Linked DNA regions of Anolis sagrei. The protein of the gene in region 2 purifies or fractionates together with the protein of the main gene of each other region. This does not show direct contact. Links are inferred from orthologs where the notes say so. Each region holds a gene or a part of one and is shown on either strand. Other genes may lie near its edges.

What was found. Proteins that work in one complex are often made in the same cells at the same time.
Region 1: the proteins of TOM1 (region 2) and CUEDC1 purify together in Homo sapiens (co-immunoprecipitation; 3 studies listed by BioGRID and IntAct, with this or other methods). This does not show direct contact. The link is inferred for Anolis sagrei from reciprocal best matches to the Homo sapiens genes TOM1 and CUEDC1.

Annotation. Positions count from the first base shown.
Region 1 is NC_090031.1:19,588,262-19,596,214, forward strand, and holds the start of CUEDC1 (CUE domain-containing protein 1), read left to right. Parts: upstream 1-4,936; 5' UTR 4,937-5,118; intron 5,119-7,953.
Region 2 is NC_090025.1:167,402,524-167,409,968, forward strand, and holds the start of TOM1 (target of Myb1 membrane trafficking protein), read right to left. Parts: upstream 3,010-7,445; 5' UTR 2,926-3,009; coding exon 2,874-2,925; intron 1-2,873.

The sequences.
Region 1 (7,953 bases), on a different chromosome or scaffold from region 2:
GGCGGTGTTGAATTTCGGTGTCAATGTTGACTTTGGTGGAGAGGTGGCTGCCAAGGTAGCGGAAATGGTCAACATTTTCTAATGTTACACCACGAAGCTGTATTTCTGGCATTGGAGAGGGGTTGGCCGGTGACTGCTGGAAGACCACTTTGGTTTTCTCAATGTTCAATGACAGGCCAAGCTTCTCGTATGCTTCTGCAAAGGTGTTTAGAGTGGCTTGTAGGTCTTCTTCTGAATGGGCACAGATGACGTTGTCATCAGCATACTGGAGTTCTATAACAGATGTTGTTGTAACCTTGGTTTTGGCTTTCAGTCTGCTGAGGTTAAATAGCTTGCCATCTGTCCGATAGATTATTTCCACTCTGGTGGGAAGCTTCCCATCAACAAGATGGAGTATTGTAGCGATGAAGATGGAAAATAAGGTTGGGGCAATAACACATCCCTGTTTGACACCTGATTCCACCTGAAATTGGTCACTTTGGGAGAAGCTGGGGCTGACAGGAGGAGCTCATCCTGCTCCCAGGATTCGAACTGCCGACTTTTCGATCTGCAAGATCAGCCATAGGGTAGATTAATGATTAATGTTAGTTATTTTGTGTGTGTGAAGTAATATAGATTGTATCTGTATATACATTTGTGTGTGTGTTTTAAGAAAACTGAAACAATGTCGTTCACAAAGCTCATGCAAAGTGTGTTGTAGGAAAGGAGGGAATATATTTTGCAAATGTTAAGAATACCCAGAGACTTCTGACAGAAGGGATTTCTTTCCATGTATGGATGTAACTTTGCAAAGCGTGCTAATGGATGCTAAAAATACCAGCACAGGCTTTATTAGCTACCGCACTACAATGGCAGAAGTCTCCACTCTCCAACAGCTGGAGAAAAGCTATAGCTGGCTCATACCTGAATGGAGCAGTGGGGAAAATGTAGCGGTGAGATTCCCCCATTGTCAAGAGCCAAGGGGATGCTTTCCATAGAAAAAGGCCCAGGTGCACAACTGAATGGTTGGCAGTTCAAATCTGGGCAGTTCAAGTCTGTCAGCTCCAGCTTCTCATGCGGAAATGAGAGAAGCCTCCCATAGGATGGTAACACATCCGGGTGTTCCCTGGGCAACGTCTCTGCAGAAGGCCAATTCTCCCAGCCCGGGAAACTCACAGCAACACACTCGGTTTCAAGCTTTAGGTGCTCTTACTGCCTATTAAAGGGAAAACCAGCTGATCCCTAATCCATCTAAAACACAGACATGTTTTAGTGGATGAGGGATTGGAGGACATCCAACCCCAAATTGGGAAAGAAGTCATCCAGGAATACCTGGCCGCTCTTAATGAGTTCAAGTCCCCAGGGCCAGATCAACTACACCCCAGAGTATTGAAGGAACTAGCGGAAGTCATTTCGGAACCATTGGCAACCATCTTTGAGAGTTCTTGGAGAACGGGAGAAGTTCCAGCAGATTGAAGGAGGGCCAATGTGGTCCCAACCTTCAAGAAGGGAAAAAAGGACGACCCAAACAACTACCAATGTCCGGTCAGCCTCACGTCGATACCGGGCAAGATTCTGGAAAAGATTGTTAAGGAAGCGGTCTGCAAACACTTAGAAACAAATGCACTCATCGCTAATAGTCAACATGGATTTATCAAAAACAAGTCATGCCAGACTCATCTGATCTCTTTCTTCGATAGAGCTACAAGCTGGGTAGATGCGGGGAATGCCGTGGATGTAGCGTACCTGGATTTCAGTAAGGCCTTCGACAAGGTCCCCCATGACCTTCTGGCAAGGAAACTAGTCCAATGTGGGCTAGGCAAAACTACGGTGAGGTGGATCTGTAATTGGTTAAGTGGACGAACACAGAGAGTGCTCACTAATGCTTCCTCTTCATCTTGGAAAGAAGTGACAAGTGGAGTGCCGCAGGGTTCGATCCTGGGCCCGGTCCTGTTCAACATCTTTATTAATGACTTAGATGAAAGGTTAGAAGGCAGGATCATCAAGTTTGCAGACGACACCAAATTGGGAGGGATAGCCAATAGTCCAGAGGACAGGAGCAGGATTCAAAACGATCTTGACAGATTAGAGAGATAGGCCAAAACTAACAAAATGAAGTTCAACAGTGACAAATGCAAGATACTCCACTTTGGCAGAAAAAATGAAATGCAAAGATACAGAATGGGTGACGCCTGGCTCAAGAGCAGTACGTGTGAAAAAGATCTTGGAGTCATCGTGGACAACATGAGCCAACAATGTGATGTGGTGGCAAAAAAAGCCAATGGGATTTTGGCCTGCATTAAGAGGAGCATAGTGTCTAGATCCAGGGAAGTCAATTCCGCCTTGGTTGGACCACACCTGGAATATTGGTTGGACCACACCCAGCCAGGGGCGGCTCATCCATTATGCGAAGTAAGCGGTCGCAGAACACTTTTTTGCCAGGGGTGCAGAGGTGCCTCTGTAAATGCCCCTCGACCGCCACTTGAGGAGTGCCCCCTCAGCTCACAACAGCCCTAGCAGTCTGGGGGGAGCCTTGGCTTTCTTGTCTCACTGCCGGGCGATCCTCTTCCCAAAGGGGCCGGGCCCTTGGGCCTCGCCTAGCCCCTCTTGTTCCTGCTCCGCCTGGCCACCGGGCGCGCGAGCAGAGCCGATGCTCAATCATTCTCCGCGTTCGATCCCTTCCCCATGACCGGTTCCCTTTCCTGATCCCCCGGCGTTCCACCCGCCTCCTCTCCTCTCCCCAATCCGCAGGTGGGCCAAGGGGTGGAGCCTCCATGCCTGGCCTGCTTCGGGTCTGGAGGCGTGTCTGAAGACCCCAGCGTGCGCACCAAAAGTCGCCTCTTCTCCTGACTTTCTCTTCAGCCATTGGGACCAAGAGAGAGAGAGAGACCCTCCGGCTGGAGGTATCTCCCACCTCCGCTCCCTCCTTTGTTTTTGCACCTACCTTCAGGAAAGGTGGGCATCTCCACCTCTCTCTCTCTCTCTCTCTCTCTTGGTCCCAATGGCTGAGGAGAAAGTCAGGAGAAGAGGTGACTTTTGGTGCACACGCTGGGGTCTTCAGGCACGCCTCCGGACCCAAAGCGGGCCAGGCAAGGGAGCAAGTGCGGCAAGTATAGTTACTGGGATGTATAGTTCACCTACAATCAAAGAGCATTCTGAACTCCACCAATGATGGAATTGAACCAAATATGGCACACAGAACCCGGCGGTGACCAGGGGAGCATTCGCACAGCTTAGGCTCGTGCGCCAGCTGCGCCCGTGCCTTGGGAAGTCTGACTTGGCCACAGTAGTCCATGCTCTGGTTACATCCCGTTTAGACTACTGCAACGCTCTCTGCGTGGGGTTGCCTTTGAAGACGGCCCGGAAGCTTCAATTGGTCCAACGTGCGGCAGCCATGATACTAACAGGAGCGGGACGCAGGGAGCATACAACACCCTTGTTGTACCAGCTCCACTGGCTGCCGATTTCCTACCGGGATCAATTCAAGGTGCTGGCGTTGGCCTATAAAGCCTTAAACGGTTCCGGCCCAAGATACCTATCCGACCGCACCTCGACCTATGAGCCCACCAGGACTTTGAGATTTTCCGGGGAGGCCCTGCTCTCGATCCCGCCTGCTTCACAAACACGGCTGGCGGGGACGAGAGATAGGGCCTTCTCGGTGGTGGCTCCTCGGCTGCAGAACACCCTTCCTGTGGACATTATACTGGCTCCATCCTTGATGATATTCCGCAGAAAATTAAAGACTTGGTTGTTCAAGAAGGCGTTTGAACAAGAAGTGCAATGATTGGTAATGATAATAGGAATGGAACAACGGAAAATGATACTGGATTGTGATTAGGACTATGAGACGACGCTGAATGGCTTTCGTAGTAACGACGATGTTTTGTATAATGCTGGATTGTGAATTGTGTTTTTTATACTGTGTCTTGAATTTTGTTCTTGCTATGTTGTACACCGCTGTGAGTCGCCCCCGGGCTGAGAACAGCGGTATAGAAGCAAAGTAAATAAATAAATAAATAAACTCCCACGATGAATAGAAAATATATATCAATGATTGGTTGTGGGGGGGGGGGGGGCGCCAAAATACTGTTTGCTTACTGTAGAAAATTACCTAGGGTCACCTCTGTAGAATCACAGAATTATAGAGTTGGAAGAGACCTCATGGGCCATCCAGTCCAAACCCATTCTGCCAAGAAGCAGGAATATTGCATTTAGATCACCCCTGACAGATGGCCATCCAGCCTCTGTTTAAAAGCTTCCAAAGAAGGAGCCTCCACCACACTCCGGGGCAGAGAGTTCCAATGCTGAACAGCTCTCACAGTCAGGAAGTTCTTCCTCATGTTCAGATGGAATCTCCTCTCTTGTAGTTTGAAGCCATTGTTCCGCGTCCTAGTCTCCAAGGAAGCAGAAAACAAGCTTGCTCCCTCCTCCCTGTGGCTTCCTCTCACATATTTATACATGGCTATCATATCTCCTCTCAGCCTTCTCTTCTTCAGGCTAAACATGCTCAGTTCCTTAAGCCGCTCCTCATAGGGCTTGTTCTCCAGACCCTTGATCATTTTAGTCGCCCTCCTCTGGACACATTCCAGCTTGTCAATATCCCTCTTGAATTGTGATGCCCAGAATTGGACACAGTATTCCAGATGTGGTCTAACCAAAGCAGAATAGAGGGGTAGCATTACTTCCTTAGATCTAGACACTAGGCTCCTATTGATGCAGGCCAAAATCTTCTTCTACTTCCATGCATTGCTTATTTAGAAATAGTTCCTTATCTCTTCTGGCTAACCTCTGGAATTGCGCATGTAACTGGGCATATCTCCCCTTTTCACTGTTTCCTTTTGCTTTCCTCCTTCCAACTCTAGGATTCTCTGATTCGATGCCACTGGTGGCCCATAGCCTTCCTTCCTTCCTGTAGGGAGGGGTGTGTTCCAGGTGCAGTTCAAGGGATTGGCCACTAGGGCTGTGCTTTGAGAAGGGAAGGGGAAGGGGAAGGAAGGGGGAGAAGAGCAGGAGCAGAGCCTGGAGCCCAGATCCTGCCTGGCCTCAGCCCTTCTCCGCCTTGGAGGGTTTGCGCTGGATCCCTGAGAAAGTGGGCTCTTCCAGCACCCCCTCAAAGGAGAGACAGCACCCCGAAAGGAGGTAAAGAAGGGCGAGGGAGGAAAGGGAAAAGGGAGGAAGCATGCCAGGGCGGGCGGGTCTTCCTCGCAGAGCCATCTGCAAGCCTTTCTCTCCTCCAAAGAGATCAGCCTCTAAGCCTTGTGTTATCTTCTACCCGCCTCGGGTTAAGCGTTGGATCTGGGGATTTGTTTGTTTTGATTTGGGGGTGGGGGTGGGGGTGGGGGGGGTGCCCCGAATTATTTCACCTTATCCGCTTCCCTTTGTGTGGCTTCCTACGTCCTCCCCCCCCCTTCCTCTCTCCTTGGTTGTTTTCCAAGGCGCCTGTTGGCTTCCCTTTCCTCTTTGGAAGCAGTGGGGAGGACCCCCTTCATTCCCAGCACCCCACATAACTGCTCTGGTGGGATATTCAAGGGGAGAGGGGCGTGTGGAGGGGAGAAAGGTAGGTGGAGGTGGGCTCTTTCTTGGATCCCTCTGGGATCACACATTCCCTGAACCTTTCCACTGGGAGGGAAGGCAAGCAGGACTTCCCCTTCCCTCCTCCTCCTCTTCCTCCTCCTCCAGTTGGGAAGCCATGCTTAGTAAATAGGGGGAAAATGTGATTAATTATCCGTCAAAGTATTTATTGTGTATTTATTCTAGCTCCAGCAGACAAGAGTTCTTTCTCCCACCCTGGTCATTCCACAGATATATAAACCCACTTTCCTACTTCCAGCAGACCTCACTACCTCTGAGGATGCTTGCCATAGGTGCAGGCGAAACGTCAGGAGAGAATGCCTCTAGAACATGGCCATATAGCCTGAAAAAACCTACAACAACCCACAATTTATTGTGTTGTCGAAGGCTTTTGTGGCAAGGATCACTGGGTTGCGGTGAGCTTTCCAGGCTGTCTTGCCATGTTCCAGAAGCATTCTCTCCTGACGTTTCGCACACCTCTATGGCAGGCATCCTCAGAGGTTGTGAGGTCAGATGGAAACGAGGCAAGGGAAGTTTAGATGTCCAGGGTGGGAAAAAGAACACTTATCTGTTGGAGGCAAGTGGGAATGTTGTAATCAGTCAACTTGATTGGCACTGAATAGCCTTGCAGCTTCAAAGCCTGGCTGCTTCCAGCCTGGGAGAATCCTTTGTAGGGAGATGGGAGAAAGAACTCTTTTGTCTGTTTGAGGCAAGTGGGAATGTTGCAGTGGGCCGCCTTGATTAGCACTGAATAGCCTTGCAGCTTCAAAGCCTGGCTGCTTCCTGCCTGGGACAATCCTTTGTAGGGAGATGGGAGAAAGAACTCTTGTCTGTTCGAGGCAAGTGGGAATGTTGCAGTTGATCACCTTGATTAGCACTGAATAGCCTTGCAGCTTCAAAGCCTGGCTGCTTCTTGCCGGGGGAAATTCTTTGTTGGGAGGTGGGAGAAAGAACTCTTGTCTGTTTAGGCAAGTGGGAATGTTGCAGTTGATCACCATGATTAGCACTGAATATCCTTGCAGCTGGAGGAATCCTTTGTTGGGAGGTGGGAGACAGAACTCTTGTCTGTAAAGCTTTCATGGCCGGAATCACCGGGTTGTTGTAAGTTTTTCGGGCTGTATGGCCATGTTCCAGAAGCGTTCTCTCCTGATGCTTCGCCTGCATCTATAGCAGTCATCCTTACAACCTCTGAGGATGCCTGCCATAGATGCAGGCAAAATGTCAGGAGAGAATGCTTCTGGAACATGGCCATACAGCCTGAAAATTTACAACCCAGAACTCTTTTGGGGCAAGTGGGAATGTTGTAATTGATCACCTTGATTAGCATTGTATAGCCTTCCAGCTTCAAAGCCTGGCTGCTTCCTGCCTGTGGGAATCCTTTGTTGGGAGGTGGGAGAAAGAACTCTTGTCTGTAAAACTTTCATGGCTGGAATCACCGGGTTGTTATAAGTTTTTTGGGCTGTATGGCCATGTTCCAGAAGCATTCTCTCCTGATGTTTCACCTGCATCTGTAGCAGGCATCCTTATAGGTTGTGAGGATCTCACAACCTCTGAGGATGCCTGCCATAGATGCAGGCGAAATGTCAGGAGAGAATGCTTCTGGAACATGGCCATACAGCCTGAAAAATTGACAATCCAGAACTCTTTTGGGGCAAGTGGGAATGTTGTAATTGATCACCTTGATTAGCATTGTATAGCCTTGCAGCTTCAAAGCCTGGCCGCTTTCTGCCTGGGGGAATCCTTTGTTGGGAGGTGGGAGAATGAACTCTTGTCTGTTTGAGGCAAGTAGAATGTTGCAATTGATCACCATGGTTAGCATTGAATAGTCTTGAAGCCTGGAGAGTCGTGAAGGATCATCAAAGGCCATCAGGAAGCACAATATTTTATGTTGGTCATGGGGGTTCTCTGTGGGAAGTTTGGCCCAATTCCATCATTGGTAGAGTTCAGGATGTTCTTTGTTGTAGATGAACTATAAATCCCAGCAAACTACAACTCCCAAATGTCAAGGTGTATTTCCCCCAAACCCCACCAGTGTTCACATTTGGGCATCTTGAGTATTTGTGCCAAGATGGGGCAGATCCATCATTGTTTGAATCCACAGTGCTCTCTGGATGGAAGTGAACTACAATTCCCAAACTCAAGGTCAATGCCCACCAAACCCATCCAGTATTTTCTGTTGATCATGGGAGTTCTGAGCCCCTGGTGGCTCAGTGGGTTAAACCCCTGTGTCGGCAGGACTGAAGACCAACAGGTCGCAGGTTCGAATCCGGGGAGAGGTGGATGAGCTCCCTCTGTCAGCTCCAGCTCCCCAAGCGGGGACATGAGATAAGCCTCCCACAAGGATGATAAAAACATCAAATCATCCGGGTGTCCCCTGGGCACCGTCCTTGCAGACGGCCAATT
Region 2 (7,445 bases):
GCAGGGGGTTAAATTGGTGGTTCAAATCTGGGGAGCAGGGTGAGCTCTCGCTGTTAACCCCAGCTTCTGCCAACACAGCAGTTTGAAAACATTCAAATATAATTAGATCAATAGTTACCACTCCAGCAGGAAGGTAACAGCGTTCCACGCAGTAATGCCAGCCACATGATCTAGGAGGTGTCTATGGACAACGCCAGCTCTTTGGCTTAGAAATGGAGATGAGCATCACCCCCCAGAGTCTGACATGACTAGACTTAATGTCAAGGGGAAACCTTTACCTTTACCTTGGTGGCTCAAAGTGCACCACCGAACAAGGCAAGAAGCTCTGCCTGTTTAACTAGGGCCCCTTCCGCACAGATGAATAAAATCCCACATTATCTCTTTAACAGATTCTTCTCTGCCAAGGAAACAAAATGTTATTAATTGAAGGTGTGAATGTCTGCCTTGATATTCTGGGTCCTAGGAGGCAAAAAAAAATTGTTGCGACACATGCTACTTCAGCTGCGTCTAAGCTACTGCCTAGTTTGGGTTGAAAACGCAAATATAGGGAAGAAGCTCTCAATTGTAGGGCCTTAGGACACTAGGATTTGGGTTAATTCATGGCTGCCTTCTACACCAAAACCATAACGCCATACAGTATCCAGAGTTTTCCTTATCCACGCTCCAAAAAAAAAAAACAAAAAAAAAACTCCCCTCCTCCAGAGGTCTTTATAGTCCTCCCTATATCTACACTGTAGAATTAATACAATCTGAGACCACTTTGACTGCCGGGATCAATGCTATGGAACCCTGGAAGTAATAGTTTGGTGAGGCACCAGCACCATTTGGAAGAAAAAGTGAAAGATCTCGTAAAACTACAACTCAAAAAATTCCATAGTGTTGAGACATGGCCGTTAAAATGATGTCAAATTATATTAATTACAGATGCACCCGAGGTAATAATGACAGCTCTATACAAGGTACAGTAAAAGCTTCAAAAAGCAAATTAGCACAGACCTTTAGCCTTCTCAGTAAATGGATATAATGAATATAGGCTGTGTATTGCCGAAGGCTTTCATGGCCGGAATCACTGGGTTTCTGTGGGTTTCTCGGGCTGTATGGCCATGTTCCAGAAGCATTCTCTCCTGATGTTTCACCTGCATCTATGGCAGGCATCCGCACAGGTTGTGAAGGAGAATGCTGGTGCTCATGACAGCATCCAATACCTAGAGGTTGAATTCAAAAAGGTCACAACCTCTGAGGATGTTTGCCACAGATGTAGGCGAAATGTCAGGAGAGAATGCTTCTGGAACATGACCATACAGCCTGGAAAGTTCACAGCAACCCAATATAGGCTGTCCTAATGCATACATAATTTGGATATACAGAATGATAGAATCATCGGATAGAATGATAGAATCGGATAGAATAGGCGAAACATCAGGAGAGAATGCTTCTGGAACATGACCATACAGCCTGGAAAGCTCACAGCAACCCAACATAGGCTGTCCTAATGCATACATAATTTGGATACAAAGAATCATAGAGTTGGGAGAGACCTCATGGGCCATCCAGTCCAACCCACTGCCAAGAAGTAGGAAAATTGCATTGAAAGCACCCCCGACAGATGGCCATCCAGCCTCTGTTTAAAAGTTTCCAAAGAAGGAGCCTCCACCACACTCCAGGGCAGAGAGTTCCACTGCTGAATGGATCTCACAGTCAGGAAGTTCATACATATGACTAAAGAGATTTTTTTCCCTTTCTGCTGGAAAACTGCAGACTCCCTTAACCAGTGTTTCTCAACCTGGGGGTCGGGACCCCTGAGTGGGTCATGAAGGGGTGTCAGAGGGGTCACCAAAGACTATTTTCTGATGGTCATGGGGATTCCATATAGGAAGTTTGAGCCAATTTTATCGTTGGTGGAGTTCAGAATGTTCTTTGATTGTAATGAACTATAAATCCCAGCAACTACAACTCCCAAAAGTCAAGGTCTATTTTCCCCAGGTTCCACCAGTGTTCACATTTGTGCATTTTGAGTATTTGTGCCAAGTTTGGTCCAGATCCATTATTGTTTGAGTCCACAGTGCTCTCTGGATGTAGGTGAACTACAACTCCCAAACTCAAGGTCAATACCCACCAAACCCTTCCAGTGTTTTCCGTTGGTCATGGCAGTTCTGTGTGGCAAATTAGGTTCAAATCCATCGCTGGTGGAGTTCAGAATGCTCTTTGATTACAGGTGAACTATAAATCTCAGCAACTACAACTCCCAAATTACAAAATTAATCCTCCCCCGACCCCACTAGCATTTACATGTGGGTGCATAGGGTATTTGTGCCCAGTTTGCTCCAGTGAATGACAATACATCCTGCATATCTGATATTTACATTATGATTTAGAACAATAGTAAAATGACTGTTACGAAGTAGCAACAAAAACAATGTTATGGTTGGGGGTCACCACAACAGGAGGGACTGTATTCAGGGGTCACGGCATTAGGAAGGTTGAGAACCACTGCTCTAAACAAAGTCTGCAGGAGCCCCTTGAGAACAAGTTGGCCATGCCACTCCCACTCCCTCTTAAAAGGGCGCGGCCCCTTTAAATCAGCAAACTTTCCCCTCGGCTCCTCTCAGTCTGCCAGGATTGGCTTAGAAGGGCTACCCACAGATAGCCGCCGCTTCGGAAGCTCCCTATTGATTAGCAGCGAGGTGTCCATCAAAAGGGACTCCGAATTCCCATTGGCTCTCGCGGGCTTAAGACCGCCTTCTCGGAATCATAGCCCCGCCCACTTCCAATTCTCCCTGGTTGAGGGGTGATATCGCAACTGAGAACACAGGCGAGTGGGCTAAAACAAAAGGGGGGGGGGGTTGGGGTCTGGCCAATGTTGGGGAGCTTACCGATGCGCTGCCCGACCGGACTGCTGAAAGGGTTGCCCAATAAGAAGTCCATCGCGCCGCCGACGCTGCTGCCACAGCTTCGGCTGAGAGGTCAGCTGACGCGGGGGCGAGAGGGCGTCACGTGGACTCCTCGGGACCGAGTGGGGGGCGTGGCTTCGGCTCTTAACCCCGCCCCTCCTACATAGTGGCCCCGCCCGTGGCGTCAGCGCTCGCCACGCCCCCTTCCAAGCTGGGCTTAAAGGGCCAGGCTGATGTTCCCGGGGGAAACGGGAATGGCATGTTCCTCGGAAGTTGCTTCACCGTTAGGATGATCGAGGCCCACCCCAGAAGGTGTTTTATGACGGCAGCAATGGATGACCACTCTGGCGTCATCAAGGCTAGTGCTAGCTGCTGGGAAAAGGCTGATTCAGAAGGCACGGGTCTCTCCCAAGAAAGGTTTGCTTGGGATAGAATCAGAGTTGGAAGAGACCTCGTGGGCCCCTGATGTTGGACTTCTTCAGGCTAAACATGTCCAGCTCATTAAGCCGCTCCTCATGGGGCTTGTGCTCTGTCCCAACGGATCTCCCTCTACGCCCCACCTGGGAGTCTAAGATCTTCTGGGGAGGCCCTGCTCTCGACCCCGCCTCTATCACAAGTTAGGCTGGTGGGGACGAGGAGCAGGGCCTTCTCGATAGTGGCCCCCCCACCTGTGGAAATCACTCCCCGGGGAGATTAGATTAGCGACTTCCCTTTTCTCATTCAGAAAAAAATTGAAGACCTGGATGTGGGACCAGGCTTTTGGACATTCTGGCAGCTAAAGGAAAGACCTTGATGATGGGCAGGTATTGACGTAACGGAATGGATTTATGGAACTCTGAACATGAGATTGTTTACTATTGTGTTATGTATTGATGTTTTTAATCTGTTAACTGTTTAATTGCTTTTATGTATTATGTATTTTTGACATAGGCATGGAATTGTGCCTTCTTTTGTAAGCCGCCCTGAGTCCCCCCTTGGGGGTGAGAAGGGCGGGGTATAAGTAGCTAAAAAAAAATTAAATAAATAAATAGACCAGTGGTTCTCAACCTGGGGTCCCCAGATGTTTTTGGCCTTCAACTCCCAGAAATCCTAACAGCTGGTAAACTGGCTGGGATTTCTGGGAGTTGTAAGCCAAAAACATCTGGGGACCCACAGGTTGAGAACCACTGCTCTAGACCCTTTTAGTCATCCTCCTCTGGACAAGAAGCAGGAAAATCGCATTCAAAGCACAGCCACCCAGCCTCACTACTTCTGAGGATGCTTGCCATAGATGCAGGCGAAACGTCAGGAGAGAATGCCTCTAGAACATGGCCATATAGCCCGAAAAAACCTACAACAACCCAGTGATTCCGGCCATGAAAGCCTCCAACAATATATCCAGCCTCTCTTTAAAAGCCTCCAAAGAAGGCGCCTCCACCACACTCTGGGGCAGAGAGTTCCACTGCTGAACAGCTCTCACAGTTAGGAAGTTCTTCCTCATGTTCAGGTGGAATTTCCTTTCCTGTTGTTTGAAGCCATTGTTCTGCATCCTAGTCTCCAGGGCAGCAGAAAACAAGCTTGCTCCCTCCTCCCTATGACTTCCCCTCACATATTTTATTTATATATGGCCCTCATCATGTCTCCTGGAGACCCCGGTGGCGCAATGGGATAAATCCTTGTGCCGGCAAAACTGTAAGACAGGTTGGAGGTTCGAATCCGGGGGGAGCACGGATAAGCTCCCTATGTCAGCTCCAGCTCCCCATGTGGGGACATGAGAGAAGCTTCCTACAAGGATAGTAAAACATCAAAACATCTGGGGCAACATCCTTGCAGATGGCCTTCCGGTTGGCAGTGATCTATTGCTGCTGGCAATTCAGCAGCTGTGTTACAGCCAGGCTCCAGTCTTTCTGGTTTTTGGACCAGCTGACATTTCAGAACACACTTCAAAGGCAGCTTCACAGATAGTGTGCTGCACAGCCTCATCATATTGAGAAGCATAAGCATGGGTGACCGTCCCTTTAAGGGAGGGAATCGCTCCCTTGGTAGTTCTGCCTCCCCATCAGACTCACAAGTGAAAACTTAAAGAGCTGTCAATACATTCATCTTGCATTAATCACAAGGTCAATATGACTTCTTTTTTAAATCAGGAGATACAATAGCATCCAAAAACCAAGAGATCCTTTGACCTGCCCCTTACATTAAAGAATACTGACACCAGTTTAAAACCAGTTCTTTCCATGGGAGCCAATGGTTCTGCCTCAAACCCCAGAGGAGACAAGAGACAGTGCTCCAGGTTAAAACCATTCCTTTCCATGGGATCCTATGGTTCTGCACCAAACCTCATATGATACAACAGACTGCTGACAGTTGGGCAATGAAACAGGATGGGAAACTTTTGATGATTCCCATCCTACCTGTTTTTCAGTTGTAAAGATGGGAGTAAAGTGCTACATGATTACTGGCCCGTGTTCAGAGTTCCCTCCTTTCAGGACATTTCTGCCTCTTTTCAGCCTGGAACATGTGAGGAGATCCATGCCTCTCCATGCTTGAAAAGAGGCTGAAGTGTCCTATCGGGGGAAATTTCTCAACGTGATGAGCTTGATTGCCAGAGTTCCCTCCTTTCAGGACACTTCTGCCTCTATTCAATCAGGAGGACTATGCATGACAGCCAGAAGTAGTTCTATGCTTGAAAAGAGGCTGAAGTGCCCTAGTAAAGGTTTCCCCTAACATTAAGTCTAGTTGTGTCTGACTCGGGGGGTGGTGGTGGTGGTGGTGTTCATCTCCATTTTTACGTCGAAGAGCCAGTGTTGTCTGTAGACACCTCCTAGGTCATGTGGCCAGCATGACTGCATGGAGCGCCATTACCTTCCCACAGAAGCGTTAATTATTGATATACTCATATTTGCATGTATTTAAACTGCTAGGTAAGTATTGAAAAAATGAAAAAAAAATGAAAAAAGAGAAAAAAACCTGCTAGGTTAGCAGAAGCTGGGCCTAACAGCAAGAGCTCACTTGCTCCCCAGAATTTGAACCAACAACCTTTCGGTCAGCCTAGTGGGCCCTACGACTGGGAAATTTCTCAATGTGTCAGTGCCTCTCTATGCTTGAAAAGAGGTGGAAGTGTCCTAACTGGGAAATTTCTCAATGTGATAAGGTGGACAGTTATCCAAACTGGATTATTTTGAAAAAAGCCCAATATGTTTCAGCCTCCCCCATCCCCATATATATTCCAGCTGAAACATGTTGGGACGGATGAATAGCTGGAAGATAGACACACATATAAGAAAATGACATCACTGTCAACTGAGGATTTCTCTCAGACAGTGCCACCACTGTGGTCAAATGTGGGAGTCTTTACACTTTCTCCACCAAATATGAAGTCTTCCAGTGTTTGTTGCTAACAGTGTGATCCCTCCCTCTGCCAACACATAAGGACTTCTGCCTGTCCCCAACTGTGAGATCAGTCTACATGCCCTCAGAGATCCTGAGGATTAATGCTACTTTTATCCCCTATGAGACACCATTCTTCCACCTTCAGTGCTGCTGCCACAAACAATTTATCTGAAACCCAGCCCTCAAGGTTTATTTCAAAGGCCAAAACTTTATTGACAGACCTTTAACATAAAACAGTAGATTATTTGGATAAAATAATCCACCTTCCACAAATCAACATTGAAACCCCTCTCCTTAAAATGAATCAGATCCTTACTAATCACTCAACACATCCACCTTAGTCTCTCAAAGTCCTCTTGGACACATTTCTCTATATACTATTCTCAAACACCAGGCACAAGCTAAGCTCTTCACACTACTCCAACAGGAAAAATACCCCTTCCCAAACCTTCCACAAATCAACATTCACTTCAGCATTCCCAGTCTTCTCCCTCAATGGTGACATACCTCATACTCACACAATAAATCAAACAACCACCTTATATACAGACCCATGTCACCACTGGAGGTTATCTAATTCAGGATCTTGAAATACTGCATTTTGCAGCATCACTCAACTGAGAAATAGCACACATGTTTGTTTTGTCATACTTTGCCAGATATGGACCCAAGTCTCCAGGAAAAAACAAGGATTCTGACTATGATGTTTTTTGAATCTTGATGTGGCCCACTTTTTGCTGTCTCTGCTGTGAGTGGCTACTGATTAAAACCCTGAAGTCTTATGTGAGAATTACACACAAATCCAATTACAATTAATGAGTTTACACAGCAACCGTTCCTGGAGCTCACACCACTTAGCTATAATCTAAAGACAGTAATGAAATGAATGAAACAGATGGTTATGGACTAATAAAAGTACATTCCTACTGAGGAACATAAACAGAAACTATGTAGGTGGACAAAAAAGGACAGGGATGTTGTCATAATGAATGGCAGAGTAACCGGTCTCTGTTCAAATGTTGTAGCTTAATTTTTTTTCACAGAATGGAAACCTGAAACAATTCATGATGCAAGTTTGTTTGTGTTTTTTTTTAAAAAAAGTTTATATACATTAGCAAAACATTTATACAACATGATTTGGACTATGTGGTTAAGAAATAACCAGTATATTTTAAAAAAAGT